7 linked regions of the Ovis aries genome follow. The protein of the gene in region 2 interacts with the protein of the main gene of each other region in a pairwise test. Links are inferred from orthologs where the notes say so. Each region holds a gene or a part of one and is shown on either strand. Other genes may lie near its edges. The genes, in order: DNM2, HTT, PSMD4, IFT20, ZDHHC17, HOXC11 and melanoma-associated antigen B18.

What was found.
Region 1: the proteins of HTT (region 2) and DNM2 interact in binary tests that used the Homo sapiens proteins (3 or more experiments, as listed by UniProt). The link is inferred for Ovis aries from reciprocal best matches to the Homo sapiens genes HTT and DNM2.
Region 3: the proteins of HTT (region 2) and PSMD4 interact in binary tests that used the Homo sapiens proteins (3 or more experiments, as listed by UniProt). The link is inferred for Ovis aries from reciprocal best matches to the Homo sapiens genes HTT and PSMD4.
Region 4: the proteins of HTT (region 2) and IFT20 interact in binary tests that used the Homo sapiens proteins (3 or more experiments, as listed by UniProt). The link is inferred for Ovis aries from reciprocal best matches to the Homo sapiens genes HTT and IFT20.
Region 5: the proteins of HTT (region 2) and ZDHHC17 interact in binary tests that used the Homo sapiens proteins (3 or more experiments, as listed by UniProt). The link is inferred for Ovis aries from reciprocal best matches to the Homo sapiens genes HTT and ZDHHC17.
Region 6: the proteins of HTT (region 2) and HOXC11 interact in binary tests that used the Homo sapiens proteins (3 or more experiments, as listed by UniProt). The link is inferred for Ovis aries from reciprocal best matches to the Homo sapiens genes HTT and HOXC11.
Region 7: the proteins of HTT (region 2) and melanoma-associated antigen B18 interact in binary tests that used the Homo sapiens proteins (3 or more experiments, as listed by UniProt). The link is inferred for Ovis aries from reciprocal best matches to the Homo sapiens genes HTT and MAGEB18.

Annotation. Positions count from the first base shown.
Region 1 is NC_056058.1:13,045,420-13,049,664, reverse strand, and holds the start of DNM2 (dynamin-2), read right to left. Parts: upstream 2,801-4,245; 5' UTR 2,638-2,800; coding exon 2,477-2,637; intron 1-2,476. UniProt on the Homo sapiens protein: Catalyzes the hydrolysis of GTP and utilizes this energy to mediate vesicle scission at plasma membrane during endocytosis and filament remodeling at many actin structures during organization of the actin cytoskeleton.
Region 2 is NC_056059.1:116,328,161-116,331,660, forward strand, and holds part of HTT (huntingtin), read right to left. Parts: intron 3,426-3,500; coding exon 3,311-3,425; intron 3,202-3,310; coding exon 2,988-3,201; intron 2,703-2,987; coding exon 2,597-2,702; intron 1,143-2,596; coding exon 980-1,142; intron 885-979; coding exon 724-884; intron 1-723.
Region 3 is NC_056054.1:101,142,702-101,146,685, forward strand, and holds the start of PSMD4 (26S proteasome non-ATPase regulatory subunit 4), read left to right. Parts: upstream 1-1,184; 5' UTR 1,185-1,199; coding exon 1,200-1,225; intron 1,226-3,984. UniProt on the Homo sapiens protein: Component of the 26S proteasome, a multiprotein complex involved in the ATP-dependent degradation of ubiquitinated proteins.
Region 4 is NC_056064.1:19,762,925-19,767,224, reverse strand, and holds the start of IFT20 (intraflagellar transport protein 20 homolog), read left to right. Parts: upstream 1-1,500; 5' UTR 1,501-1,586; intron 1,587-4,300. UniProt on the Homo sapiens protein: Part of intraflagellar transport (IFT) particles involved in ciliary process assembly. May play a role in the trafficking of ciliary membrane proteins from the Golgi complex to the cilium.
Region 5 is NC_056056.1:112,711,772-112,715,271, forward strand, and holds part of ZDHHC17 (palmitoyltransferase ZDHHC17), read left to right. Parts: intron 1-1,766; coding exon 1,767-1,831; intron 1,832-2,480; coding exon 2,481-2,643; intron 2,644-3,500. UniProt on the Homo sapiens protein: Palmitoyltransferase that catalyzes the addition of palmitate onto various protein substrates and is involved in a variety of cellular processes.
Region 6 is NC_056056.1:132,539,316-132,543,273, reverse strand, and holds the start of HOXC11 (homeobox protein Hox-C11), read left to right. Parts: upstream 1-1,158; 5' UTR 1,159-1,429; coding exon 1,430-2,111; intron 2,112-3,397; coding exon 3,398-3,630; 3' UTR 3,631-3,958. UniProt on the Homo sapiens protein: Sequence-specific transcription factor which is part of a developmental regulatory system that provides cells with specific positional identities on the anterior-posterior axis. Binds to a promoter element of the lactase-phlorizin hydrolase gene.
Region 7 is NC_056080.1:24,366,450-24,369,261, reverse strand, and holds melanoma-associated antigen B18, read right to left. Parts: upstream 1,571-2,812; 5' UTR 1,524-1,570; coding exon 501-1,523; downstream 1-500. UniProt on the Homo sapiens protein: May enhance ubiquitin ligase activity of RING-type zinc finger-containing E3 ubiquitin-protein ligases. Proposed to act through recruitment and/or stabilization of the Ubl-conjugating enzyme (E2) at the E3:substrate complex.

The sequences.
Region 1 (4,245 bases), on a different chromosome or scaffold from region 2:
TGAGAGGTGGGGATGGGAGAGAGACCCTGGGTTTCCCCAACCCAGAGACCTTGATCCTTCACTGAACAACCTCTTGTAAGAATGCTCAGCTCTTTGGGCCTCAGTTTTGTGCTCTAGAAAATGGGATCATAGCGGTGCCAGCCTCATGAGGCTTCAGTAAAGTCCAATGTGTAACTTCAGAGCACTTTAATTCTGACTAGCTTTGGTTATTGATATGAAAGGAACCGGGGCTTCCCTGGTGGCTCAGCCAGTAAAGAACCCACCTGCAAAGCAGGAGACCTAGGGTTGATCCCTGGGTAGGGAAGATCCCCTGGAGAAAGAAATAGCAACCCACTCCAGTATCCTGGCCTGGGAAATCCCACTGACAGAGAAGCCTGAGGGCTACAGTCCAGACTCACAAAGAGCTGACACGACTGAGCAACTAAGCATACACACACCCACAACGGAACCAGCCTAGTGAGCAACAGCACCCTCCAAGGAGACCCACTAGGTGCCAGGCACTATGCTAAGTAAGCACTTTTAACACACCGTGTCACTACATCCTTGCAAGTCCTGTTAAGGGTCCATTAGCCCTTTTTCTGGTGGGAAAACTGAGGCTCAGAGAGGTCAAACAACCTGTGCAAGGTCACGAGGCAGATGAAATGGACAGAGCTTTGCAGACACCCACCGGAAGCCTGGGTAGGCAGGAGGATGGCCAAGCAGGGGACCCAGCCTGGGCTGATCCCAAGTCCACACCTTTCCGCCACAGTAGAAAGAGGGCATTTCGCCAGGGACACAGCAGCAAAGGAGGAAATTCATGCCGCTGGGAGCAAAACCCTAGGCCACTGTGAAGGCGGGGCGGGGCTGAGCACCCAGCTGGGCTCCACTGAGCGCCAGCCTGGTGGCCTTGGGCAAACAGCAAGTCTTTTCTGAGCTGAACCAAGAGAGAAGTCAGCTTGGGGGCTGCTGGATGAACCTCTTTAACACTGATAACAACAACAATATGAACATGATGATGACTATGACGTTATCAGGGCTTCCCTGCTGGCTGAGCGGTAAAGAATCTGCCAGCAATGCAGGAGACACATGTTCAATCCCTGGGTCGGGATGATCCCCTGGAGGAGGAAATGCTAACCCATTCCAGTATTCTTGCTTGGGAAATACCATGGACCAGAAGGCCTGGTGGGCTACAGTCCATGGGGTCACAAAGAGTCAGACACAGGACTTCACGAGTAAACTACCAACCGCCATGACGTTATCATCTGGCAGCCGCAGTCGCAAATGGAGTCCTTCCCAGAATGCAGAAGTGGCCCCCCATCTGGGAGGCAGAAGGAAAAGAGGTGGGGGGAGGAGAGGGGAGAGGTAACCACCCTCAGTGGCCACAGGGCCCATTCTCCTCCATTGGCTTTGTGAATCCTGGAAACAGCCCAGAGTGGAATTTGTCCACTGGACAGATGGGCAAACTGAAACTTCTCGGGGCTTCCCAGGGAAGGCTATATCCAAGCTTTTGCCACTGCAGCCTGATCGGGCCAGAAGTTCCTCTCAGGATCCAAGGAGGATCCCCACCATGCAGGCTTTGGCTTGGGGGCTGGTCCCCATGTTCCAGGGCCCTGCAGGCAACCTGACATGGGCCAGGAAAGACTCCTGGAAAATGTCTGCCCCCCAGGGTCCTACTTCCAATTCAAAGGAGAGGAGTTCAAGTCTCACCCTTCAGCCCCCTTCTCTTCTGCAAGCTCCTCTCATCCCCTGCCCAGAAGTGGGGTCAGGGAGACGAGAAGGACTGACACCATGACACAGAGACAAAAGGATCCACTTGGAAGCGAGGAGCCAGCGTTCGCCAGGCACCAAGTTGAAGAGGCAGCCCAGGAGAGCCAGACAACAGGGTCTCCCAGGGTCCAGCCAGCCAGTCAGACAGCACAGGCCAGCTGGGTAACCCAACAGAGGAAGAGCTAAGTCTGTGAGGGGCACGGATGGGCAACCAGACAGGACAGGGCCTTCTGGCTAGCTAGCCAGGCAGCAGGGAGCTGCCCTGCGGTCCTGGACAGATGGACAGCCAAATGGTGGTGGCGGGGAAGCCTATCCAGGACAGAGAGACAGCAAGCCAGACGACAGGAACTGCTCCAAATCAATGAGCAGCCGGCCAGACCACGGGGATCGGCCCAGTAAATATCCAGGAGACAGGTTCAGGACAGACAGACAACCAGATGGTAGAATTCACCCACTAGAGCTGGGGGCCAGAGAGTCAGAGGTCTTGCACTGCACTTCCTGGCCCACGCCCCCCAGCGCGTGGGACACCCCTTAGGTCTGGGCCGGCTCCCCAGCCCCTACAGGGAGCCCTCCACTCAGGGCGTCCCACAGGGCCCGCCCCCCTGTCCCCGTCCCGGTCGCGGGCACGCAAGCGCCGCAGTTACGCCGGCGGCGCAGGGCGCGCCATTCCCAGTCCGCCCTCCGCGCCGTAGGCCGCCGCCCGCCCGCCGTCGCCACCGAGCTCGCTCACCGGCCCACGAAGTTCTCGAGCACAGAGCTCTTGCCGGCGCTCTGGCCGCCCACCACGGCGATCTGCGGCAGGTCCAGGTGGCAGCTCTGGCCGATGGAACTGAAGGCATCCTGCAGCTTGTTGACCAGCGGGATCAGCTCTTCCATCCCGCGGTTGCCCATGGCGCCGGTGGCCCCGGCCCGAGCGACCCGCGCTCCTCGCCCGCCCCTGTCCCTCAACGACGCGGCCCCGCGGCGTCCGCGGCCGTTGCTCCCCGCCCGCCCGGGCCTCGGCGCGACGCCCGCTCCCGGCTCGGCCTCACGGTCGCCGCCTCATCCGGTTCTCAAGCGACACCCGACCCGACCGACCTCCCGCCGGAGCCCTGGGGCTGCGCCAAAAATCCTCGCACTAACTCCGATTGGCCGGCTGGGCTGTCACTTCTGCACACAAACCAATGAAAGTGAGGCACGGGCCGATTGCCGAATGAGCCCGCCCCCTGGGGCCTATTCTCTGATTCATTGGGCGCAAGAACTGTCGCTATTGTGCAAGAGCCAATAGCAGCGGCAAGCGAGTTGTCTCGGCCGGGAGGCGGTGTTTCGGGAAAAGGCATGTTGGCCCCGCCTACTAGGGGGTGTTCCCGGATAGAAGGAACATCCGCCAGTCTTATTGGCAAGCAGACCCACCAATCAACAAGGCTGGCCAATGATACTAGGGATCGGTTCTTCGCTTGACTCTATTTAGTTCCCTAAAATTTTCCCATTGGTTTATATAAATATCACTCCCTTCTATCACCCAACAAGTCAAAGAGGGTGGGATTTAACTTCTAAATCTTGACTCTGATTGAAAGCTGTATCTGTCCATCAAAAAACCTCCCCCGCCCCGTTCTAGTTTGTGAATGTTGTATGTCAAGTAGGGTCTTCTGGAGCAGAGGATAGGTTCACAGTACGCGGCAACGCGCGCCGCCTAGTGGTAGGACTCAGTGCTGATAGTCACTTGTGTTTCTGGGCTCTAAAGAAAACTACAAGTCTCAAAATGCATCTTAGCCGCGAGCTTGCAAATCAGCTCCCTGCGCGGGGTCCCAACATATTTTGAAGGTCCAAATATACTTTGATATGCAGATGACACCACCCTTATGGCAGAAAGTGAAGAGGAAAGAAAAAGCCTCTTGATGAAAGTGAAAGTGGAGAGTGAAAAAGTTGGCTTAAAGCTCAACATTCAGAAAACTAAGCCAGAGAGAAGTAGCTCAGTAAGGAGTTAGGAGCAAAGGAGGTGGGGAAGTAGTCTGACTGGGCCAGGCAGTAACAGGGGAATGGAGAAACAAGGGGTGAAAGAATGGCAGAGTGGAATTGCCTTCTTCATGACCCAGAACTGCAGGTCTCAGAGACAAGCAACAAGACTGACAGTGTTTGGCACTGCAGCCTTGACTACGGTGGCAGAAACTTGAAATACCCTAACTGCTCATCCATGGAGCTCATTAAGTAAATACTGTTTATAATCCATAAACAAAATTGAGTAAATTTTCATGTACTAAAGTGTAAACAATTTGAGATACAGTATACTAAGAGAAAGGTTGGGGGGAAGCAAGGTACATGGAGAAGGAAATGGCAACCCACTCCAGTACTCTTGCCTGGAGAATCCCTTGGACAGAGGAGCCTGGTGGGCTACAGTCCATGGGGTCGCAGAGTCGGACATGACTGAGCAACTGACACACAAAATTGAGGAGATACTTGATGGCGCTGGCCTTGGGAAAATAAAAGGTTAAGTTGTTTACTGGCAAAAAAGAAGAGCAA
Region 2 (3,500 bases):
GGGGAGGCCTGCTCCTGTGCTCCAGGGGGTTCCTGCCTCCCCCAGGGCTCCTGCCCCGACACAGGCCTGCGGACAGCAAGGGGCGCCGAGGGGCTCCCCAAAGCTACAAAAGCAGCGGCCCAGGGCTGGGTGGCAGCTGCCTCACGCCTGGGTCTGGGCCCTCCAGCCGGAGCCCCCGCCCCACGGGGCTGCCCCTCGCACAGGGCTTACCTGGCCGGGCTCCTGCACACCCAGCACAGAGCCATGCCGCCCGCCCGGGCTGCTCCCAGCGCCGGGACAGCCGTCTGCTCCGAGGCTCTGCGGTCTGTCTGGGGAAGGCTGAAGGGAGGGGCCGTCCCCTTTTGGCAGCCAGCGTGTCGGGGGCGGGAACTGGATCTTCACTGACTCCAGCGTTTGCCCAGGAGGGTGATACACGGCACGTGACAAGCGCTATTGAGAAGCAGCGCAGTGGCCCGCCCAGCTGCACGGACCCGCAGGCAGACACAGGGGGTCCTCTGGGGGCCTCCCCTCCCCACGGACCCCCCCGGAGCCCCGCTCAGAGCAGGGAACACACGGGCTCCTGTTTCCTGGTTCGTGCCTCACTCTCTTGGGGCTTAAGGGAAGCGTCACCCTGACACCTGGGCTTCCTACAGAACTTGGGTTCCCAAAACGCTGACGCAAACGTCAACCAGGATGCTGACGGGACGGCAGGGCCGTCCGGGGCCCAGGACCAGGCAAGGATACATCGCCGAGACCCACGGGCTGGTGGACGCGCTGACGAAGAAGCAGGAGAGGCTCCACGTGGCCATAGCGACCGGGCTCCGCTGCGTGAAGTTGGAGAGCGACAGCATGACCCAGTCCCGCACCGTGGACGACTGCCCTGCGCTGTGCAGCGCCTGGAACACCTGCGCGGAGGCCGCGGGCGAGGCCGCCCCGTCAGCGCCAGCTGGGGGGAGCTGGGGGCCCCGCGCCCGCCTGGGCGCCCCGCCCGGCCCCTCACCTGGTACACGACAGTGGCCATGAGCTGCGGGTACGGCTGCTGGCTGGACAGGAACTCGCCGATGACCTTGTTCATGACGTCCTGGGGCGGGAAGAAGTCGTCCAGGAACTGAGGGAGGACGCGGGCCACCACGCGGGCTTCGCAGGGGAACCCCTTCCGGATCCTGTGTGGTGGGGGGTGGAGCCCGGATCAGAGCCCGTCCGCCGTGCTCCCCAGCCCGGGGGCTCCTGACCGGCTGGCATCCTGAAGTAGCAGCAAAGACGGCTGGGGTGGTGACATCACGGCACGCCACAGCCCCTCGTGACAGACCCACGTCCTCGTGAGGCCCTCAGGCACGTCTGCGCTCCTGGAACCCGTCAGTGCCCCTGCCAGGCCCCCTCTGCGCCAGCCCTGCCCCAGAGCCCCCAGCTGCCTGCCCTCAGCAGACCCGTGGTTGGCCCCTGGCACAGGGCCCTCCCAGGGCCAAGGGGCAGCCAGCAGGCTACTGGCCATCAGCACACCTCTGCTGGCCCGCCATGTCCACGTGTTCTGCGTGCAAGCCCCATCTGCAGGAAGCTGAGTACACACAGGCCTCAGGAGTGCGGAAGCGGGGCCCCTGCACAAGCACACACGAGGGGCTTGCGCATCAGCAGACTCTGGAGCCCGTGGAGATGGGCCCCCCAGAACCAATCAAACAGGCGCGTGTGACTGAAAAGTACCAGAAGGGACCTGGAAACCGGCCCGGTGTGCCCGCTCCACCTGCCTGCAGACGCCAACCATGACCCACAGGCACGAAACCCGCAAGGGAGAGTCAGCACCGTTGACCCAGAGGCCTCCACGCGTGACAGCGTGGCCAGGCTGAATGCCGGCCCTGCACGGGCAGACGCGCTCATCTCGCAGCAAGCCTGGTGCGTGAGCCCCCGCGGCAAGGCTAAGCGTGGGCGCCCTGCCTGCTCCCCAGGCTTGGTGAGCGTAAGCGTGGGACTGTGGACGCTCACTGAAATGGGCAACGTGGGCGCAGCGTGCACGCTCAGCTCTCTGGCCAGAGCGGGCCTGGAGAAGGCTCTGTGACGTGTGCGCAACGTGGGCACCCGGATGGCCGCCTGCTGCCCGAGCTGACCAGAGCTGAGGTGCGCAGGGCAGAGCCAGCTTCCCCGAGGCCACAGACACAGCCTGAGAGGCCCGGGGCAGAGCCGGACGAGGGCCCCAAGCCGTCCTGGACACCCGGGCACACACGTGGAGGCGGGCCGTCGTCACAGGCTCTCAAGGGTGCTGCCTGCTGGTTAACGCTGTCCGAGGGTCGTGAGAGCAGCCTCCTTTTCACAAGCGCAGCCTCCTCCCGAGCCGCTTCTAGCGCGGCCCCCAGGCCCTTCTCTATACAACGGCAGCTTGGACAGCCGCTTCCGTCCCGAGCACACTCCAGGACATCTCTTCAAAGGACCCCGACACCGCCACACTGCCCCTCGCCATCGGGACCCGGGCCAGCACTTGGGACAGCCCTGGGGCCGCCCGAGTCAAAACCTGGGCGCTGGGTGCCAGGACGGCCCGCGGCGGCGCGGAGCCTGGGGCGGCGCGGAGCCCGGGGCCCGGGCAGGGAGCAGGCCGCCCCCGGCTGTGGGCAGGCGGGCTCGCGCTCACCTGTCAAAGAGGACGGACACGCGTTCCATGGCCACGATCACGGACTCGCTGTCAGGGGCAGCAGGGCTGGGCTCAGACGCTCGGCCTGGACTGACTTTCTCCTTTCCTGGAACAGAGCCGTTTCGTGCCGCTGGTTTGTAAAACTGGACGGTTCTGTTAAGGGGGCCTGGAGCTCACACAGGAGTTTACGGAACTCCTACTGATGGTCTGACACGGGGGCGGGGGCCCGCAGGGCCCAGCCGAGACACAGGGCACAGGGGTCGGCCTGAGCGCTGCTCCCAGATGGGGCTCTGACCCCTGCTCCCAGACGGTGCTCTGACCCCACGCAGCCTGAAGGCCCCTGCAGAACCCCTGCGTCTGGCGCCCAGCGGCACGCGCTTGCCAGGCTCACCTGTGTACATGCAGGTGAGCATGAGGCCCAGGGCCGCCATAGCGCGGTGCGGGCTGTGCACGTTCACCCGGTCCACGCTCAGCTTGACCAGGGACTCTGCGTCCAGCCGGGAGAGCTGCTCGGAGAGCAGGAGGCGCTCCAAGCCCCGCAGGACACAGTGGTAGACGACGGACGGGGTGGCCTCCTCGCTTCCAGACAGCATCACCCCACACATCTGCGCGAGGGAGGGCTTCTGGGTCAAAAGGCTGCTGTGGGCCTCTGGCCGCCCGCCTCCTCCCAGGTGGGAGCGGTCGCCGGGCGCAGCCCAGGCCAGGCCGGCTCACCTGTATGATGGAGGCCGAGAACTCCGGCCCCACGTCCAGCGGGTAGTTCTCGATCAGGTAGAAGGCCGTGGCACACATCACCAGCACGTGCTGCTGGCTATGCACGTTCACGCAGCTGAAACCGAGGCGTCGGCCCAGATGAGGGCACACGGCCGCCGTGCTGCCGGCCGGCACCGCGCTGCCCTCCCAT
Region 3 (3,984 bases), on a different chromosome or scaffold from region 2:
GTCAGGGAATTTCCAGCCAAGGCATTTTTAATTAAAATAATTTTATTTTTATTTTTTGGCCATACCATGACAGATGTGGGATCTTAGTTACCCCACCAGGGTATGAGCCCACAGCCCCTCCACTGAAAGTGCAGAGTCTTAATCACTGTACCACTAGAGAAATCCCTAAGACATTTTAAAATGTAATTCTTCTTTTGAGGGATGCTGCACTGGGTCTTAGTTGTGGCATGTAGGATCTATTTCCCTGACCAGGGATTGAACCTGGGGCCCCCTGCACTAGGAGCACAGTCTTAGCCACTAGACTGCCAGGGAAGTCACTAAAATGTGATTTGATTAAAAAGCGAAAGTGATTGACTAGGTTGTCTCCCATTCTTTGGGAGATTAGTTAAAATTATTGATTCATCAAACTTTTTTCTGCCTTCCTACCATATGTCAGGCTTTGTAGTGGACTTAGGGATAGCAGAGATTGACACTTCTCTTGCCCTTAATGGGGACTTCCCTGATGGCTCAGACGGTGAAGAACCTGCCTGCAGTGCAGGAGATCGGTCCGATCCCTGGATTGGGGAAGATCCCCTGCAGAAGGAAATTGCCACCCACTCCAGAATTCTTGCCTGGAGAATTCCACGGACAGAGAAGCCTGGCGGGCTACAATCCATGGAGTCGCAAAGAGGGGGACACGACTGAGCGACTAACACTTTCACTTTCTTTTGCCCTTAATGAAATGAGAAAGACAGATACACAAACAAATGCAGTTCAGAGGTATAAGTGCTTAGTAGTTTGATGAACAAAGTGCCATGGGGAACCGGGGGAGCTGGAAAGTCAGTAGTCAGTAGTCATCCCACCAGTTTTTAAAAACGATGATGCTGGAATAGACATAGCTTCAGCACTTTCAGAAGTTCCTTCACGTTTTTTCTTAGCTCTTCTCTGCAAGGAACGCCACCAGAAAACCTGAATGGCAGGGCAGGTGGAGGTGTGGCCCTCTTTTTTGTGTTACTTGGCCCCTCCCTCCGCCCCAAACAGCTCCCACTTTTTTTTTTCTTTCTGGCGGCGCCTACAACTCCCAGAAAGCAACACGGGGATGAAGGCGGAACCAGCTGGCCCAACCGAGGTCAGTGATTGGTGATGCGCGCCGGGCCAATTGGAGGAGCTGTTGTTTAGTGGTCTAGGAGAACCGGTCGGGGAGGGAGGAAGGAGGCACGATGGTGTTGGAAAGCACTATGGTTTGGTGAGGAGCCACCTCGGGCCCCCTTGGGCAGCGGGACTGGGTCGGGGGCGCCTGTAGCTCGGAGGCCAGGCGGTCCTGGGGTGGGCGAGGGGGCCTGGTGGAAGAGATGAGGCCTTGGGCCGGGAGGAAAGGAGCTCCAGCGACTCCCTGAGTCATCCCGGGGCCCCAGAGGTAGTTCCCGACGGACGGGCCCGAGGTACCCCCCTTAACCCTCAGTCCGCGGACAGTCATTGACCGGTCCTGCTATTTTTCTCCATTACAGCGTCGTCTTCTCTAGACCAGCCTACATCTGTCTTTAGCTAGAGTCCTGCTTCTCGGACTCACCGTGCTAGTCTTCTGCCTTCCTCTCCTTTTCACAATGATGGGTGTTAGGAAGAGAGTTTCAGCTCCCTTCCTTGCCCCACTCACTTGTCGCTAACTCCTTTGCTTTTCCTGGTGTTACCGTCAAAGGCACTACAAGAGTACTTTTTAAGTGTTTGTGGCTTAGTCGTTAAGTCGTGTCGGACTCTTGGCGATTCCATGGACTGTAGCCCGCTGGGCTCCTCTGTCCCTGGGATTTTCCAGGCAAGAATCCTGGAGTGGTTTGCCATTTCCTTCTCCAGAGGATCTTCCCGACCCTGGGAACGAATGCGGATTTCCTGTACTGCAGGCAGATTCTTTACTAAGCTACCTTCTAAATGTTAGGCATTTAATTTGCTTCATCTCACTTAAGCCTCACAATACTCCCTCCCTTTTACAGATGAGGATACCGCGTCTCGGCAGTTTTAAATGACTTACACAGAATCACACAGCAGGTTAAGTGGTGGAGCCTAGGTTTAAACTCAGGATTATCTGACTCAAAGACGCTTCGGCACTTATCCAGTGAGCTCTCATCAGTCTGACTTGGCTAGCTGTTAAAACTGAGGACCACACTTTTGCAAGGTTTCAAGAGTTTCTTCTAAGTGTGAGCCTGGAATGAAAACAGAATAATACACAAACACACACAAATCCCCAGTTGCATGGAACAGACACCTAAGGGTTTTCTTTTTGCTGGGTAGATACTGTTGCCAGATAGCACATAGGATGCCCAGTAAAATTTAAATTTCAGATAAACAATTATTTTTAATATCACAATGGCCATGTGTATGTCCCACATATTGGATGGGACATACTTTCACTAGAAAGTTACTGTTGTTTGTCTGAAATTCAGATTTAACTGGGAGTCCTGTATTTTCTGTTCTTTATTTGTTTTTGGCTGTGCCGGGTCTTCACTGCTTTTGCCTGGGCTTTCTATAGTTGCTGGGACCTGGGGCTACTGTTTGTTGTGGTGAGGGTTTGCAGGGTTCTGGTTGCTGTGGAACACAGGCTCTAGGCGCCGGAGCTTCAGTAGTTGTGGCACACAGGCTCAGTAGTTGCAGCTCACTTGGGCTTAGCTGCTGTGTAGCATGTGGGATCTTCCCAGACCAGGGATCGAACCCATGTTCTCTGCATTGGCAGGCGAACTCTTTACTACTGTGTCACCAGGGAATTCTGGGAGCCCTGTATTTTCATTTGCTAAATATGGCAGCCTCTGGACGAAAGCAAGTTAAGAGTAGAAAGAGGACAGGATTTGGAATCCAAAATCCTGTGTTTGGGGTACTTTCCAGCCGCATGTTCTTGAGAATGTAGTAAATCTCTCACTTTAGCTATAAAATGCGAATATAATAGTAACATCTACTCTTCTCATAGCAAGGGTAGGCAGTGTGTGTCGTGGTGCTCTGTAAACTGCAGCACTCTGCATCTGTTAGTTGCCATGATGCTTAAGAAGTCCTCAGGAAAGAATTTAAGAGGGTCCTTGAAGGGACTTAGACAAATGTTAAGGAGAGGCCATTACATGTAAGGAGAAGGGCATAAGGAAAGCTGCTGAAGTGTACATTCTCAAGGCTTGTTTAGGGAGTAGAAAATGGACTAGTGTGGCTTCATTATTAGGTTGTTGGTTGAAGGTGGTTCCCTTTTTTGGAGAAAGGGGCATGCAGCCAGGTAGAAGAGCACAGATGTCGGGTTGAGGAGGCTGAATTCTGCCCTTTACCCTTCAATGGAGGACTACTGAAAACGTTCTGAGGCTGGTGGAGCCAGAGCTATATACAAAATGGGATTTAAGAATGCTGATCTGGCTTGGGGTATGGGAGGAAAGGTTAGGTCCAGAGTGATGCACTGGCACCCTGTTGTAACAGCCCAGCCATAGAAGAGCAGTGAAAGCCACTTCTTTGCTCATGCTTTGCTGGCCCTCAGAAAGTTGTGTATATTTGATTCTGCTTGGTCTGGTGGCTCAGACTCCCAGCCAGGGAAGCTTAGGCATCTGTATTTTTTTTTTTTTTTAATGAAAATTTTATGGAATAGCTGGATAATTTTGTCAGCCCTTATTTTGATATAAAATTTTATTGGGAAAAATTACTGTTGAGTGAAAGTAGTCACAGGAAATGCATGTATTATCCTGTCTGTATAAAGTTCAATGTTGGGAAAAGCAAACTGCATTTTTTAGGGGTGCACACATAGGTGTGCAAGCATCTGTGTTTTTACCAGTGCCAGCACCGTCACCCTCAAAGTGGTTCTGATACACTCGTGACAGCAGGAGGACCGCTCTCGTGTTCTGCACAGCAGGTTCTTCCTCCCTCTCAGCTGCCCCCCCCCCCCCCCCCCCACCTCCCAGGGCTTCCTCTGACATCTTTCTTCCAGCCTTCATCCATCTGCTGGTCTTGCCCACAGCCTTTGTACTTAGTAGCTATTGCAGCTGGATGATC
Region 4 (4,300 bases), on a different chromosome or scaffold from region 2:
TGGCAACCTGCTCCAGTGTTCTTGCCCCGGGAAATCCCATGGACAGAGGAGTCTGGGGGGCTACAGCCCCTGCGGTTGCAAAGTTGGACATGACTGAGTGACTGACCGTTCATCCTGGGAAGAATGTCCAAGGAAAGGCCAGGACAGGTGCTGTATGAAGTACTGAACTCCTTTGGTGGTTTGTCCAGTATGGATGAGATGAGCGCCCCGCCCCAGCAGACTGCCCAATCAGTAAGTTAAGCTTGAATGGTATGAGATAACTTTACCAAACTGCCCACCCGGAAGGAATAAATCCACCCCTTAACAGGTTTTAACAAGTTCTCTATGCATTTTGTGTCTAGCCCCAATTTCCCCACGATCAAAGAAAAGGAGCTCACCAAAGGTTAGGCGGCTGCCAACAAAGGAAGACAAATCCAAACTAATCTATTCTTTTCCAACAAAGCAATTGCTTTGAGCCCCTGGATGACGTCAGCTGAGATTCCAGTTGCTCAGATTCCGCCCAGGCCAATAGGTTCCAGGAATCCTGTGGCAGGTGACGCCCCAGAAGGTAATTCCAGTGAAAATGAAGTTTCCACTGAAAGCCTCAGAGCTCTTCCTTCCGGACTTTGTGTGTGGGTATTTGGGGATGCTAGGGGCCTATCTGTGTCACACTAGGCAAAGCGAATGGGAACCTAAGCGGAATAAAGGGCAAACAATCACGGCGGTGTTAGACGGTGGGGTCCTAAGGAAAGAAGGTCCCAGAAATTCGTCACACCAGGGATGGCGAGGGGAGGAGCCGATCTTGGTCAGAGAGGGCGGATCTAGCAGAAAATCCAAAGTGTAATTCTATTGCTACATCCAAAAGGTGTGGGCAAATTTATCCAGACCCAACCTCTCCATGCCAGTGTAGAGTCTTTCCCAATTCATACCCCTCCTCACTATTGAGAAACAGAGACCGGTTCTGACACCCATCCCCAGGGGAGGATTTGAGCTCTCCACCCCCACCCCTCTTTCGCCGTCCCACGCCTTTTCCCCAAGACCGCGTGGGGCTCTCTTTGCTCAGCCCAGGACCCAACCATCCCTTCCCCTAGGACATGGGCCGGCTAGGCTCTCACCCTCCCCGGTGGCGCCTCTCCTCTCAGCTGGATTGCAAGTCGACACCGTGCCGCCCCCGAACTGTGGCCGCTCGAGCTCCAGCAATCCCGGGCCGAAACTCGCATCCTCCACCCAAGGACTCCGCCCCAAGCCGGCGGGAGCCTGAGACGAGAAGGCAGGGCAGGCCCAGCATCCAATCAGGGCGGAGGGAGGGGCCCCTGAGAGTATTTTGCGCTGAGAGCATAGCTACTTCCGGCAGCCTTTCCGGCGCAAAGGCTCTGGGTCTCGTAGGCAGTTATCCTTCCTCTCAGGCCTCTGTTTCCCAGCAGGCCCTGCGGGCTTGATGGGTCTAAGTGCTTCGGGGTCGGGAAGTGACGTTGACGTAAACAGGTTCTGTCGCCGTGGCAGCAGCTGAGGCTGCTGGGCAGGGTGTCGGCGGCAGCCGACTGGAGAGAGGCGCTGACTTCCGACGTTAGCCTGGGTCGCCAGCGCTGTCGCTGCTGGGTGAACAGGTAGGCCGTGACCCCGGGTTGGCGGGCTTGGGGCAAGCCCGGGGTGAGATTAGCCTAACAGGCCCGTGCCCCGAGGAAAAGCAATCGCGGGGCGAAAGAAACGTGGTAATTCCGCCAGGCTCTGGGAGCGGTTTTACCCCCGGCTAGGGCCTGGAGCTTTACGCGCTGCTGCTCCCAACTATCTTAGGAGGAAACCGCGGCTCAGATTAAGTTCAAGGAGTTTACGTAGTGAAGACGCGAGCTCCACACCCAGGTCTTCCTAATTTTCCCCACACCCCACGGGTGGAGCCTGTTCGGAGCGCCCAGCGTGGTTCCGGGGAGACCCCCGGGGTGGGTTTGGAGGAGAACGCGTCACCCTCTCTTACTGGAGCTCAGTCCGGCTCTTGTGTCCGGTGTTCCTCAGATGCGCGTGTGGTGGGAGTTGGGAGAGAATCCGGTAGTCGGCTTTGAACCCTCTCCGCTTCTTCTCCGGTCTGACCCTTCTCATTCAACTATCCCTTCCAGCCGTGCAGCTGGCTCAGGCCAGGTACGCGGGAATCTTGCCTGACTCTTTTTCACTCCTCCCCAAACCCCTGCCTCAGTCATCCTTTGCTAAGTCCTATCAACTGGACTTACAAAACATCTCAAATCGGAACACTTCTTCAGCTCCAAGCCTTGGTTACTGAAATAGCCTGCTCTGTTTTCACAGTCATTCATACCACATACATTTGCTGAGTGCCAGTTTCTGTGTAGGTATCATGTTAGATGCTAGGGTAACAGCAATGAGCAAGATAGTTGTAGCTCCCTCCTCTTTCTTCCTCCAACCCATTCTCTATCCTGGGTCTTGGTGATCTCTCTAAAGGGCAGGTAGTCAGATAGACTATGCCACTCTGCTGAGAATCCACAGGCTGTCCGTTAAACGCTTATGAGAAAATCCAGGCTCGTTACTGCAGCTTTCAGAGCCCTCCGCCATCCAGCACTACCTAGCCTTCCCATCTCACCTCATCCCGTTTCTCTTTATCCCTTGCTCAGCCTTTCAGCCACACTAGCCTCTTGGCTCTTGTTACAGGTTCCATTTCTCATAGCCTCAGCATCTTCACAGGTGCTTTTCCTTCTGCCTAGAAATACCTCCTCCTCCCTTCACTTGACAAACTTCTGGACAGCCTTTAGTTCTCAGCATGTCACTTTTTCAGAAGACTTTTGTTTGCAGTTTTGGGGGGTAATTTTGTGTCCACATGAATTTTATCCTTCTGCTACAGCTTCATGTAGCACCGTGTGCTTTTCCTCATACTTTTATCATAATTTGTGATTATTTGTTTACTTCCTGCCCAGAGGTCGGGAACTGAAAGCACTGAAGCATTTTCTTCACTACTCTATCCTCGGGACAGTAGATGTTTGTGAATAAATGCAAGCTCTCTGGGAAGGGAGTGCGAATTGAAGCAGCTCTTTGTGCCCTCTGGTTATTTGAAGCAGTTTGTCTGGTTAGTTACTTGTGTGTGTGCTCAATTGTGTCTGACTCTTTTGCGGCCCCTGGACTGTAGCCCGTCAGGCTACTCTGTCCATGGAATTTTCTAGGCAAGAATACTGGAGTGGGTTGCCATTTCCTCCTCGAGGGGATCTTCCCAACCCAGGGATTGAACCTGTGTCTCCTGCATTGGCAGGTGGATTCTTTACCACTCACCTGGTAGGTGCTAAATGCTTAGACAAGCGGTCTTCAACCTTTTAGGCACCAGGGACCAGATTCATGGAAGACAGTTTTCCCATGGTCAGGGGGCAGAGGCAGGGCGGGGGTGATGATTTGGGGATGATTCAAGTGCATTACATTCATTGTGCACTTTATTTCTATTATTATTATATCAGCTCCACCTCAGATCATCAGGCATTAGATCCCGGAGGTTGGGGGCCCCTGACTTAGACTATATGTGTAAATAGGACAAATAGGAAGACAGATCTTTTTAAAAAGCCCAATTACAAGGGAACTCTGGATGATTAAAGTGTTTCAAAAGGAAGATGCTAGTTGACTTACTTGAATGGACTGCAGTGAGACCGAAGGCCCTGGGCCATACACAGCTAGACATGTGTTAGTTGGCCCACACAATGTTGGATGTGGGTTTTGGGTGTGTTTTTTTTTTAACTTAAAATTTTTGAATTAAAGGAGATACTGTTCTTTAAAAGTCAGATTGCATACATAAATCTGGATTTTTGGTCCTCTTGAAAGTCAGTTCTGGCAATAGTGGAACTTGATTCTTTTTAACCCTTGCTCTTTCTGTGGTATACCTACCCTGGCAAGTTGCTTCCAGAGTCACCCCATTCAGAACAGAACTGCTCTAACGTATCGGGAAGGGAAACAGGGGAGGCTGGGGAAGATGAGAGAGAAGGACTGGTGCAGGGCCAGGCTGTGGTAGCCTTTGGAACACTGGGGGTTTCCAAGTTGGTTTAGCAGCCAAGAGCTAGACCTCAGTAGCATTGCCTCCCTTTTTAGACAGGGCATGTGCCCTCTTATTTTTATTTTGTGTGTGTGTTTAAGCCAAAATGAGGGTGAGTTTTCAGTGTTTCCTTCCCAGAATTGAGGCATCCTTTGGACCAGGAATGCGAGGTGGCCTGGGAAGGGAGACGATAACTCTGCTGGTTCTCATCTACAGAAAAAAAAGACAAACATTAGCTTGGCCCACAGGGTATCTCTGCTCTGGCTCCACCCGGCTTTCCCTCTCCATCCTCTGTCCTTTCGACTTCTA
Region 5 (3,500 bases), on a different chromosome or scaffold from region 2:
AATATATTTGGACGTTGGAGACATACTCCCATCAGTGAGAGTGGCTTGCAGAGAACTGCACGTAGAGTTATGAAGCGTTCTAACAGTGCACGCACTATGACTACGTTCTCTCCGCTGGGCGGTGGATTAGACAGCATATGTTGGATAACATCTGCAGGTTTGATGTAGTCCAGGAATAGGAGATGGGGACGGGATGAAGGGGAAACAATTTTTATTGAATGTCTGTTATAGGATTAGGTTGCCTTACACACATCATTCCATTTAATCATCAGGGATCTTATGAAGCCATTATTTGTATTCACATTTGTAGATGGGAAAGCTGAGGTTCAGAGAATTATAGTAATTTTGCCAATTTTACAGTTAGTAAGTGATGGAGCTAGGAATTCAAAATCATGTCTGTCTTGTTCTAACACCCATGCCTTTCCCAAGCCTAGAAGAGTAGATAGATAAACTTGTCTTTTCATTTAACAGATGGTTTTTGATTATTCTCCGTGCCCCGAAAAGTAGATACAAAGATGATTTTAAAACAATTTTGATCTTTAAAGAAGTCCTGTTCTAGTTAATGAGACAGATGCCTCAGGTACATAGCAGAATCAAGCCAAATTGATTGCTGGAGTGGGTCAAGAAAGAATTTTAGGGAAGTGAAATGAATAGAGTCTCTGATACATTAGCATGTCTTAAAAGAAGCTTTAGATAACTTGAGAAGAGTTTGGGTTGAATAGGTTGTAGTTTTAATTCTAATTTGCTAAAAAGAAAAAAAAAAATTAAGCAAAAGGGAGAAAAAAATAGAGTACCAAGGAAAGCAAAAAGCTGGGTAGGAGAGAAAAAGTAATCATGGTTTCTACATAACTTTGTTGGGAATAGTATTCATATATATTTATAATAATGTAAGCATCAAATATTTACAGAACCTGAATTATTATCTCTTCAGAGGAAGGACTAGGAAAGGTGCATGCCTGTGATGGGCCAGTGAGAAGAGAGAGAACATGCCATTTTACATGCTGAGGTTGTGTAAAATATGGATGTTGAGGATAATGCCTGAAACTGAAAAATCAAAAAGTGCCAATTCAGGTTTTTTATTTTAAGTATGTGGGAGTAAAAAGCACAATAAATAATGAGTTTTTAAAAAATGAAAATGGTAGGGACTAAGACAAAGGATTGCTTTATTACCTTGCTTTTTCACCACAGACTTTGTCTAGATAGTTAATTCTAAAAATATTTATGCATAGTGATATAGTGATAAGAAGCATTTTAAAACAAGGAACAAATTCAGTAAATTTTAGTAGATTCAGAACATTTGACTCTTTTAAAATTTATTGAATTTATTCTGTGTTTTAAAATGTCTAGAAATAAACAGGGTTTTATTATTCCCTCATATCATGAATTAATATAAATAAGTTTTTCAGAGACAGAAGTCATTTATTTAATCTGTCCATTGTGGGTGAAAGATCAAGGGTAGGTCAAGATCTTTAAAAGGCTGAGTGAAGCATCTTAAAAGAGAAAACTATAAATAGAAGTTAATTAAATATTAAATACATGTTTTTATTTATAAATAAGTAACACATATCCATATTAATTTGAATATTTAATATTAATAAATATTGAATAGTTTTACTTTAAAGTTAAGAAAGGAAAAGTTTCATAAATCAACCTTGACTGAGTGGTGTCCTCATGTCGGCTTCTTTTGTGATGTGTAAATTACGTTTTTCTAAGTACATGTGGTAGGGACTTAGACATTTTTACTGTCTGACTTTTTACTCTATCAGGATGTAGATATGATGGATCAGAATGGGATGACGCCTTTAATGTGGGCAGCTTATAGAACACATAGGTATGTAACCATTATGAAATACTTATTCAGATCATTTTCAGCATGATAAAATGTAAAACAAGTGATGAGAAAAAGCAATTAATGTTATACTTATTAGTATTTAAAATTCTTACCATGAATATGTAGTATATAACACAGATTATCCTTTTGGGTATTTTGAGTCTTTATGTTTACCTTTATGTTGGCAATTGTAGTGCCCTTAAGGTAGTCTTAAGCAGTTTCCAAGAATGGAAGATGCTACCTTCTTATTAAAAGTATAACTCATTTTTTATATGACTGGCATATTGGCAAGTTTAACATTAATAAGTTGCCTTAAATCATTTTTGGAACAATCTAGATTTAAATTTAAAATTTTAATTGTTTAAGTATTTAAATACTAATGACATTAACTCCATGATGTAGAATATAAACATTAGGACCAAGTGTGCTCTCTCTTGGAACTAGTTTACTTTACGTTCTGTGATGTAGAACATACTTAATTCTTCATGTTAAAAATGTTGTCTCATTACTCATTATAAAGTTGTCGAAAATAGGTTAGAATAGAAGTGTTCCAAGATGGAATATAACCACAATCAGTTTAGTGTCTGTAATGATTTCTATAATTGAAATTAGGGTTGTTGTTGTTGTTGTGTTTTTTTTTCCTTTTCAGTGTGGATCCAACTAGATTGCTTTTAACATTCAATGTTTCAGTTAACCTTGGTGACAAGTATCACAAAAACACTGCTCTGCATTGGGCAGTACTAGCAGGGAATACCACAGTCATTAGTCTTCTTCTGGAAGCTGGAGCTAATGTTGATGCCCAGAATATCAAGGTAAAAATAGCCTTTATTGATTGTGCTTTGTGAAATGTGATTACCAAGATTGGAATTCTTTAATAAAACTTAGGTTTTTTAATAGACTGTCAGAGGTGGAAGAAACTTACTTACTCTCAACCCTTTGCTTCCATGCAAGAATTTGTTTTGAAAAACTAATTTATTTATTTTCGTCTTTTAGTATTGAAGTATTTTTCAGATTTTGGTGACCTTTTCATTAGTGAATTCTTACTGACTTTTATCTCTTTATAGCTGAATAGATAGTTTTCTGATTTCTTTAAGAAGATTATTGCACTAAGATCCCACATGTGGCACCACGTAACCTAAGTAAATAATATCATTGCAGAGAATCACAGATTTTTATCCCAAGTATGCATAATAACTTTGAGTAATTTCTTGACTTGGTCATTAATTATCTTATTTTTATAAAGGTCAAGACCTTTACATTTGATAATCACCTCTGTGATATTTGTAGGAGAATTTCTCTCCCCTAAATGCTAGAGTAATCCAAGAAAAATGTACCCCCAAAATACAAAATGTTAACATTTACACTCTGAGCATTTTAGAAATTTATAGACATTTTTATGAATACCTGCAGGAAAATTCTGTTGATAATCTTAAATTTTGGTTAACCATTCTCAGTGTTAAAACTTGTCTTTTAGCAACAGACTTTTTCTGTGAAATGACTTTAAAATTTTAAACATCTTTTAATAATGTGCCTTCTTAAATAACTTTGTACTTATTAAGAAATGTTGTTTAATTTTGACTATAAGCCATAGTATTTTCTTAGTCATGCCTCTTAAATTTCTAAGGAATATATGCTATTTAAATATTAAAGGAATTTGAAATGCATAATA
Region 6 (3,958 bases), on a different chromosome or scaffold from region 2:
TCCTGTGGTGCCCAGAGGGAAGGGAGGCAGGCAAGGGAGGGCAGAACCACTGAGCCCACCCCTTGGGTCACACCCATCTAGGAGGCTGGTAGATGTGGAGGAGGGCAGGGCAGGGCTGAGAAACTGCAAAGAGGCACCCACCGAGGTCTGACTGCAACCCCTGGGGAGGGAGGAGTGGGGCTGGGGGTTTCCACTAGGGAGTGGCCCCTGGCCCTGCACAGCCCGCCAGGGTCCTCAGTTCCCTTCCACTGCCCTGCTGGTCTGTCGCAGAGATCTATACTGTCCACCCAAATCATTCAAGAATATCAACCCCAAACCCAGATCCCCCATCATATCCTACCTAGACCCAACACTGGGCTTCTTTACTGCGCAGAAGCTGACACTGAGCACCCAATCCAAAGGGGCCCCAACAGAGAATACGCCCAAGACTCTCATTGCAACCTTTTTCTTGGAGGTTGAAATTTTAAAAGCCACTGTGGATGCAGCTTTCTGTGCATTGATTGACAATAAAGGCAGGCATGAAATATTCACCCAGGGCCACTCTCTCATACTAAATATTTAACACAACATTAGAGAAGGTTTTTCCCAGACTTCGCCAGGCACCGGCTGGGCGGCTGGCTCACTGCTTACCACTGTTTATGACTAATCTGAGTCCCTAGCCGGCGGCAGCACAGCAAGCCAGACAAAGTTGGGACACTGGCTGGTTGCTGGGCCGCCTCACCTTTGGGAAACTTCAGATACCCTTCCAGGGAGTCCCTCCAGAGGGGAAAGCGAGTCTGGATAACCAGCCCTGGCTAGGAAAAGAATCGACTTCTTCAAACTCTTGTAAACAGGCACTGACTCTCTTCGGGTTGGTGGGGTAAGAGTCCCTGAGAGTTGGGGGGAAAGATTCACGTCTCTGGAGGAATCAGGCAGCGGAGAAAGAGGTCCTCATCCCCACCTCTGTCTTGGGCTGATCACAGGGAGAAGGCAAGACCCCCATATGTGAGAACCCTCCTCCTTCTCCCAATCCTGGGGAAAAAAAAAAAAGAGCAGCAGCTAGAAAAAAATACAATTACCCCCTCCTAGCCACCGCCCCCGCCCATCCCACCGCCCACCCCACCCCAACCCTCTCTCTCCTCCTTTGCTCGCTCTGTGGAATGGAGAGGAGGGGAGTGTCAAGAGCAAAACGAATACAAATCTGCAATTGATTTTCATAATGTTTCTGCGGTGTTTGCAAACCAATCGCCTGAACGTCCCCATCTTACCTAAGAGAGAACCCCTCCTACGACTGCGAAGTGCTCCGAACTGATATATGACAATATCTACTTTGGATCACGTGCTCGGGGAGAGAGACTAAGACGGATAACGCGTCATCTCGCCTTCCCAAATTTTCCCCCCTCGCTAGACCTGGTCCAAAACCTCCATCTGGAGCCGGCAGAAGAGAACGATGTTTAACTCGGTCAACCTGGGCAACTTCTGCTCGCCGTCGCGCAAGGAGAGGGGCGCCGATTTCGGCGAGCGAGGGAGCTGCGCCTCCAACCTCTATCTGCCCAGTTGCACTTACTACGTGCCCGAGTTCTCCACGGTCTCCTCCTTCCTGCCCCAGGCCCCCTCTCGTCAGATCTCCTATCCCTACCCGGCCCAAGTGCCCCCGGTCCGAGAGGTCTCATACGGCCTGGAGCCCTCCGGCAAGTGGCACCCCCGGAACAGCTACTCCTCCTGCTATGCGGCGGCCGACGAGCTCATGCACCGGGAGTGCCTGCCTCCTTCCACCGTCACCGAGATCCTCATGAAAAACGAAGGCTCCTACGGCGGCCACCACCACCCCAGCGCCCCGCACGCCGCCCCCGCCGGCTTCTACTCCTCAGTCAACAAGAACAGCGTCCTGCCCCAAGCCTTTGACCGCTTCTTCGACAACGCCTACTGCGGCGGCGGCGACCCGCCCGCCGAGCCCCCCTGCCCGGGCAAGGGTGAGGCCAAAGGGGAGCCTGAGGCGCCCCCGGCCTCGGGACTGGCGTCCCGGGCTGAGGCGGGGGCCGAGGCCGAGGCCGAGGAGGAGAACACGAATCCCAGCTCGTCCGGTTCAGCCCACTCGGCGGCCAAGGAGCCGGCCAAGGGAGCCGCCCCCAGTAGGTAGCAGCGGCCGGGAAACAGGCGGGCAGGAGGGAGGGAGCTAGGGAGGGAGGGCGAGCGAGGGTAGGGGGGAGGCGAGGGGAGCGGGGACGGCCTCGTGTTTTGGGTCAGTCCAATTTTATGTGGAGTTTTATAAGCATTCAAAGGATTTTATTATAACCTACAAAGCCCTCTCTCCCAACGACTCGACTTTTTACGATGGAGAAGGGGTGGGGAGGGAGGGAAAAGGGCCCTTTGGAAAAACCGGGTGAACCCCCCTCTCCGTTATCTCCTTCGGTCTGTGAAAATTTTTAAAGCGCCACCATCGCGGGCAATATTAACTTTGATCGTGAACTTAGAGGAGCATTTAAGGAAGGATGGGGAGCCCGGCTGCCGGGGTTGGGGGTGGGAGGGAGGGGAGGGGTGGAGGGGGAGAAAGGGGAGGGCAAGGGAAAGACAGGGAGAAACTCCGAGAGGGGGAGTGGTGGAGGAGAGAGGCAATGGAGCAGAGCCGGAGCCCGGGGAGTCCAGCCAGGGCCGCCCTGCTTCTTTAAAAAAAAAAAAAAAAAAACTATTTTTTGAAATGTTCAAACTCTGTGTTGGCGGGTCCCTGAGCAGGGCCCGGAGCGACCCGAGGGTCAGCGGCGACAGGGGGTGGGGGCGAGGCGGGCTCAGGGCTCCCCTCTGCTCCAGGCCTGGGGCTTGGCGTCTCCCTGCGGCCCGCGGCCTCTGCGCCGGCCTGGCCCGGCCGCGGGGAAGGAGCGGCCCGCCGGGCGTCCTGGGGCGCCAGGGCCCCCGGAAGCGGCTCTCGGGTGTCTCTGCTGCCTGCTCTCTTGCTTCCTCCCCGCCTCCCAGTGACTCTCGCCGGATCGCACTTCTTTGCGCCTGTTCTCCGCGGTCCCCCCACATTTCTGGGGGTGGGGAGAGGGGGTGGGTTTTCAGAGCCACCCGGAGGGCAGAGGAGCGCGGCTGAGCGGGCGGGGGGCCTTGGGGACGCACTTGGCCAAGGCTGGCGCGCATCTCCCGCAGACCCCGCCACAGCCACGGCCCTCGCCGGAGGGGAGGGGGCACGGGCCCCCGCGGTGGCCCGGGACGGGGGACGCGCTTGCCGCCCAGGCAGGGGGGTCGCGGCTCGGCCCAGCGCCGCGCCCGCGGGAGGAGAGCCGGCCGGCCTGGCGGGAGGGCTGCCCGGCGGTGGGGCCGGCAGAGGGGCCCGCCGGCCGCTCCGGGGGGCTGGGGTCGCCCGGGTCTCACGTGTCTCTCTCCCCCTCTCCTCGCACTTGCCCCCTCCCCTCCCCTCCAGACGCCCCCCGCACCCGCAAGAAGCGCTGCCCTTATTCGAAATTCCAGATCCGGGAACTGGAGCGAGAGTTTTTCTTCAACGTGTATATCAACAAAGAGAAGCGGCTGCAGCTGTCTCGGATGCTGAACCTGACGGACCGACAAGTGAAAATTTGGTTTCAGAACAGAAGGATGAAAGAAAAAAAACTAAGCAGAGACCGGCTGCAGTATTTCTCGGGAAATCCTCTGCTGTAACCGCAGACTGGGCCCTTTTGAGGGGAGGGGGGAAAGGGAGAAATTATTTTATTTTATTTTTATTTTTATTTTCTAACTCGCCTATTTTCCGCGGGTGGAAAACTGGACTGTGGCCAGGGCTGGCCCCCACTGCCGTTTCCCGCACGTCTTTCTGGACAACCTCCTTCACCTTGGTCTGACTCCATGTGGGACAGGGACAGGGCCTGGAATGGGGGGTGAAGGAAAGTGTCTGACCCACGGCGAGTGGACACCGTTGGCGCCGAGGCCAAGACTCTTTATTTAAAAGAAAACACACCTCGCGACCATGTCTTGCTGCTCGGATTGGGTG
Region 7 (2,812 bases), on a different chromosome or scaffold from region 2:
TTTTCACATGTCCAAAGAAGTGCCTTTTACCATGCCATGTTGTGTTGTTCTAGTTCAATATATACTAAAGGTTTCCCAATTTATGTTGCAAGATAATAAAACTCTTATATTAAATCTATTAGATTAAATCTAATATGTAACCAAAATCACTAAGTTTAGATTCTGAAATGTATATCTTCTTTAAAAGAAAACATTAAGGAAAGAAAGAAAGGAAGAGAGAGAAAGAGGAAAAAATAGAAAAAGAAAAGAGAAAAGATTAAACTCTTGTTTACTATATAGAACAGAAACACAAAGATGATATTATAATTTTCCCTGTGGGCCCACCCTGGTCATCCACAGCTTAGAATGTTACTGCTCTTTTTCAACCTAAAAAAGAAAAAAAAGAGAGAAAGGTAAAATTTTAAGTTAGCAATATATACCAGGAACTCCAGGATGGTATACACTTCTCCAGTCCCACCCTGGCCCTCCACTGTTAGAATGCTGACACACCTTTTTGAATTTCACTTAGCCTGGGAGGAGGTGCTGGCTCTGGCTCTAGAGCGGGCACTGGCCAGGGCAGCAGTACGAGCCCTGGCTGCAGCTCTGGCTCGGGCTCTCTCTTCCTCATCTCTCAAAGCCTCTTGATACCAGGATGGGAAGGCAGTGGGGACGGTATCGTGAACCTTGGCTAAAAACTCCAGGACTTTCATTTTGCTGGTTTCAGCATGGGCTCTTGGGCCCCACAGGAACTCATAGCGTGGAGGCTCACTGTTGGCCACCTGGCGGTACTCCAGGTACTTGAGCTGCACCAGATCTTCTGTGAGGACCTTCTTGGGATCCCCATAAATGAAGTGCTTCCTTTCAGCATATACACCCATCATATTCAGCACTTCCCAGATCGCCTCTTCAGGGGCGCAGTTGCCTCTCATGAAGATCACACCAAGCACAATCATCAGGATGCCGGTCTTTGGCATGTGCTCATATTCATTCAGAGCTGAATCATAGGAGAGGTCTAGTTTGTTGACAAGGGTGTAGCAGTGCCTGGTAGGATCCACTTCCTTCAAATCAACACCAAAAGCCAGCTCCATATGATCAGAAGCTCTCTTGAGGATCTCATTGTAATGACTCTTGTACTGTTTGATAACAAACTTCATCATCTCTGCCTTTCTAATTGGCTCTTTCTTTTGATACTTCTGCAGCAGGAACTGCACCAACAGAACCACTTTCTTATTTAAAATCTCACTGAGTGAGCTCTCAGCGCCCTTGGGGAAGCTTGTGCTTTCCGCCTTTGGGCTATTGATATTTTCAGCTGAGTTGGTGCCTGAACTAGCTGCAGTAGCACCAGTGGCTCCCTCAGGTGCCTCAGGAGTGCTGGGTGTCCCAGCAGCAGGCAGATTCTCAGGTCTGTCCCCAAAAACCGAAGAAGGGGACTTTCCTGCTGCTGCTGCCCCAGAGGCCTTAGCAACCTCTAGGCCCTGGGTCTCAGTACGGGCCTGGCGGCGTTTCTCACGGGCACGGAGCTTACTCTTCTGACCCCGAGGCATGATGACTGGTCAGGGACCGCAGACAGTTGCTCAAGCTGCCAAGGTTGATGAAGAGCTCACCCTAGAAGACAGAGGAAAAGAAGGCGTGTATAGCCTCCATAGGGAGATTCTTCTATCTTGGCTCCAAGAACAACTGCTTTTGTTGATCCCCTTAAGGGTACCGTTTTAAAAACCCACAAGACAGAGGCCAACGGAACTCTGTGGGCCGCCTCTGTTCATCAGGGGCTTGTCACCTTAATTCTAACCCAGAACACTGAACTTGACTCCTGACCAGTCCTTTTACGACTCCTTCTGCTGACTTGAGGCTTCCCCTTCAGACCAAGGCTTCCCATCCCACAAATTCTTCTGGTGGAAGTAGCGGGGTGTTGGGCCTAACGGTCACTTTGAGCCACTCGGGGGTTGACGGTCGGGATGGCGCAAGTTAAGATAGGGAGGGGCTCTACGGGACCACCCGAGTTCTGGGAGGAGTGTGTCCCTTTACTTCTAACAAAGATTGTCTACCTGGACACTTGTCCAATCCTGGAACTCGTCCCTCTGTAGATATACGAGGCCACACCTCTCCAACTGAAGCCTCGAGCTCCGCGGCTGCCGTGGCGGAAGGCAGGGAGAGCACTTCCGGTATCGCCCAACTAGGTTTGCCAGCATTGAGGGCGGGGGGGAATCGGTTCTGGAAGGGCCTCCCTGTCTGTCCTGGCAGGCGGAGAAATCGTGCAGAACTCACATGAGGGAGTCTTACCTGACTCCTGACAGGGCCTGGGACTTCTTCCTCTGCTGAGCTAAGTCAGCTGGCCACAGACCAGGGTTCTCATTTCCCTCGGAACCCCCAGCAGGAAGTAAGGGGTAGCCTGAGCCTAGCAACCATGTCTAGGGCCTACCAAGACTGATAGTGGGCGGGGGGGGGGGGGGGAACGGCTCTTTGTGGACTCTTATTTTGGAGTGGGCTCTCCCCTCAGTCCTCACTCAGTTTCTTACCTTGATGCTTTGTAAGTGAGCTACTAATCTGATAGGGTGCCAGACCAATCAAGCAAGGCATAAATCTATAAATAATTTAAGGGGAATTGACTACTGTACAATACTCTACTCATCATGAATAAACAGAAGATATGTTGCTCTATGTAAGATTTCTTTTACCTAAGTCTGTCAGTAATTTTTTTTACATTTACTTCCATAAACATCATGTGCATTGTTGTTCGTTTTCTTTTGACGTATCTTTTGGATAGCACTGCTGTTTTGAATGATGTATTTACCATTATATATCCTAGTTACTTATTTTGTGATAAGAGTCCTCC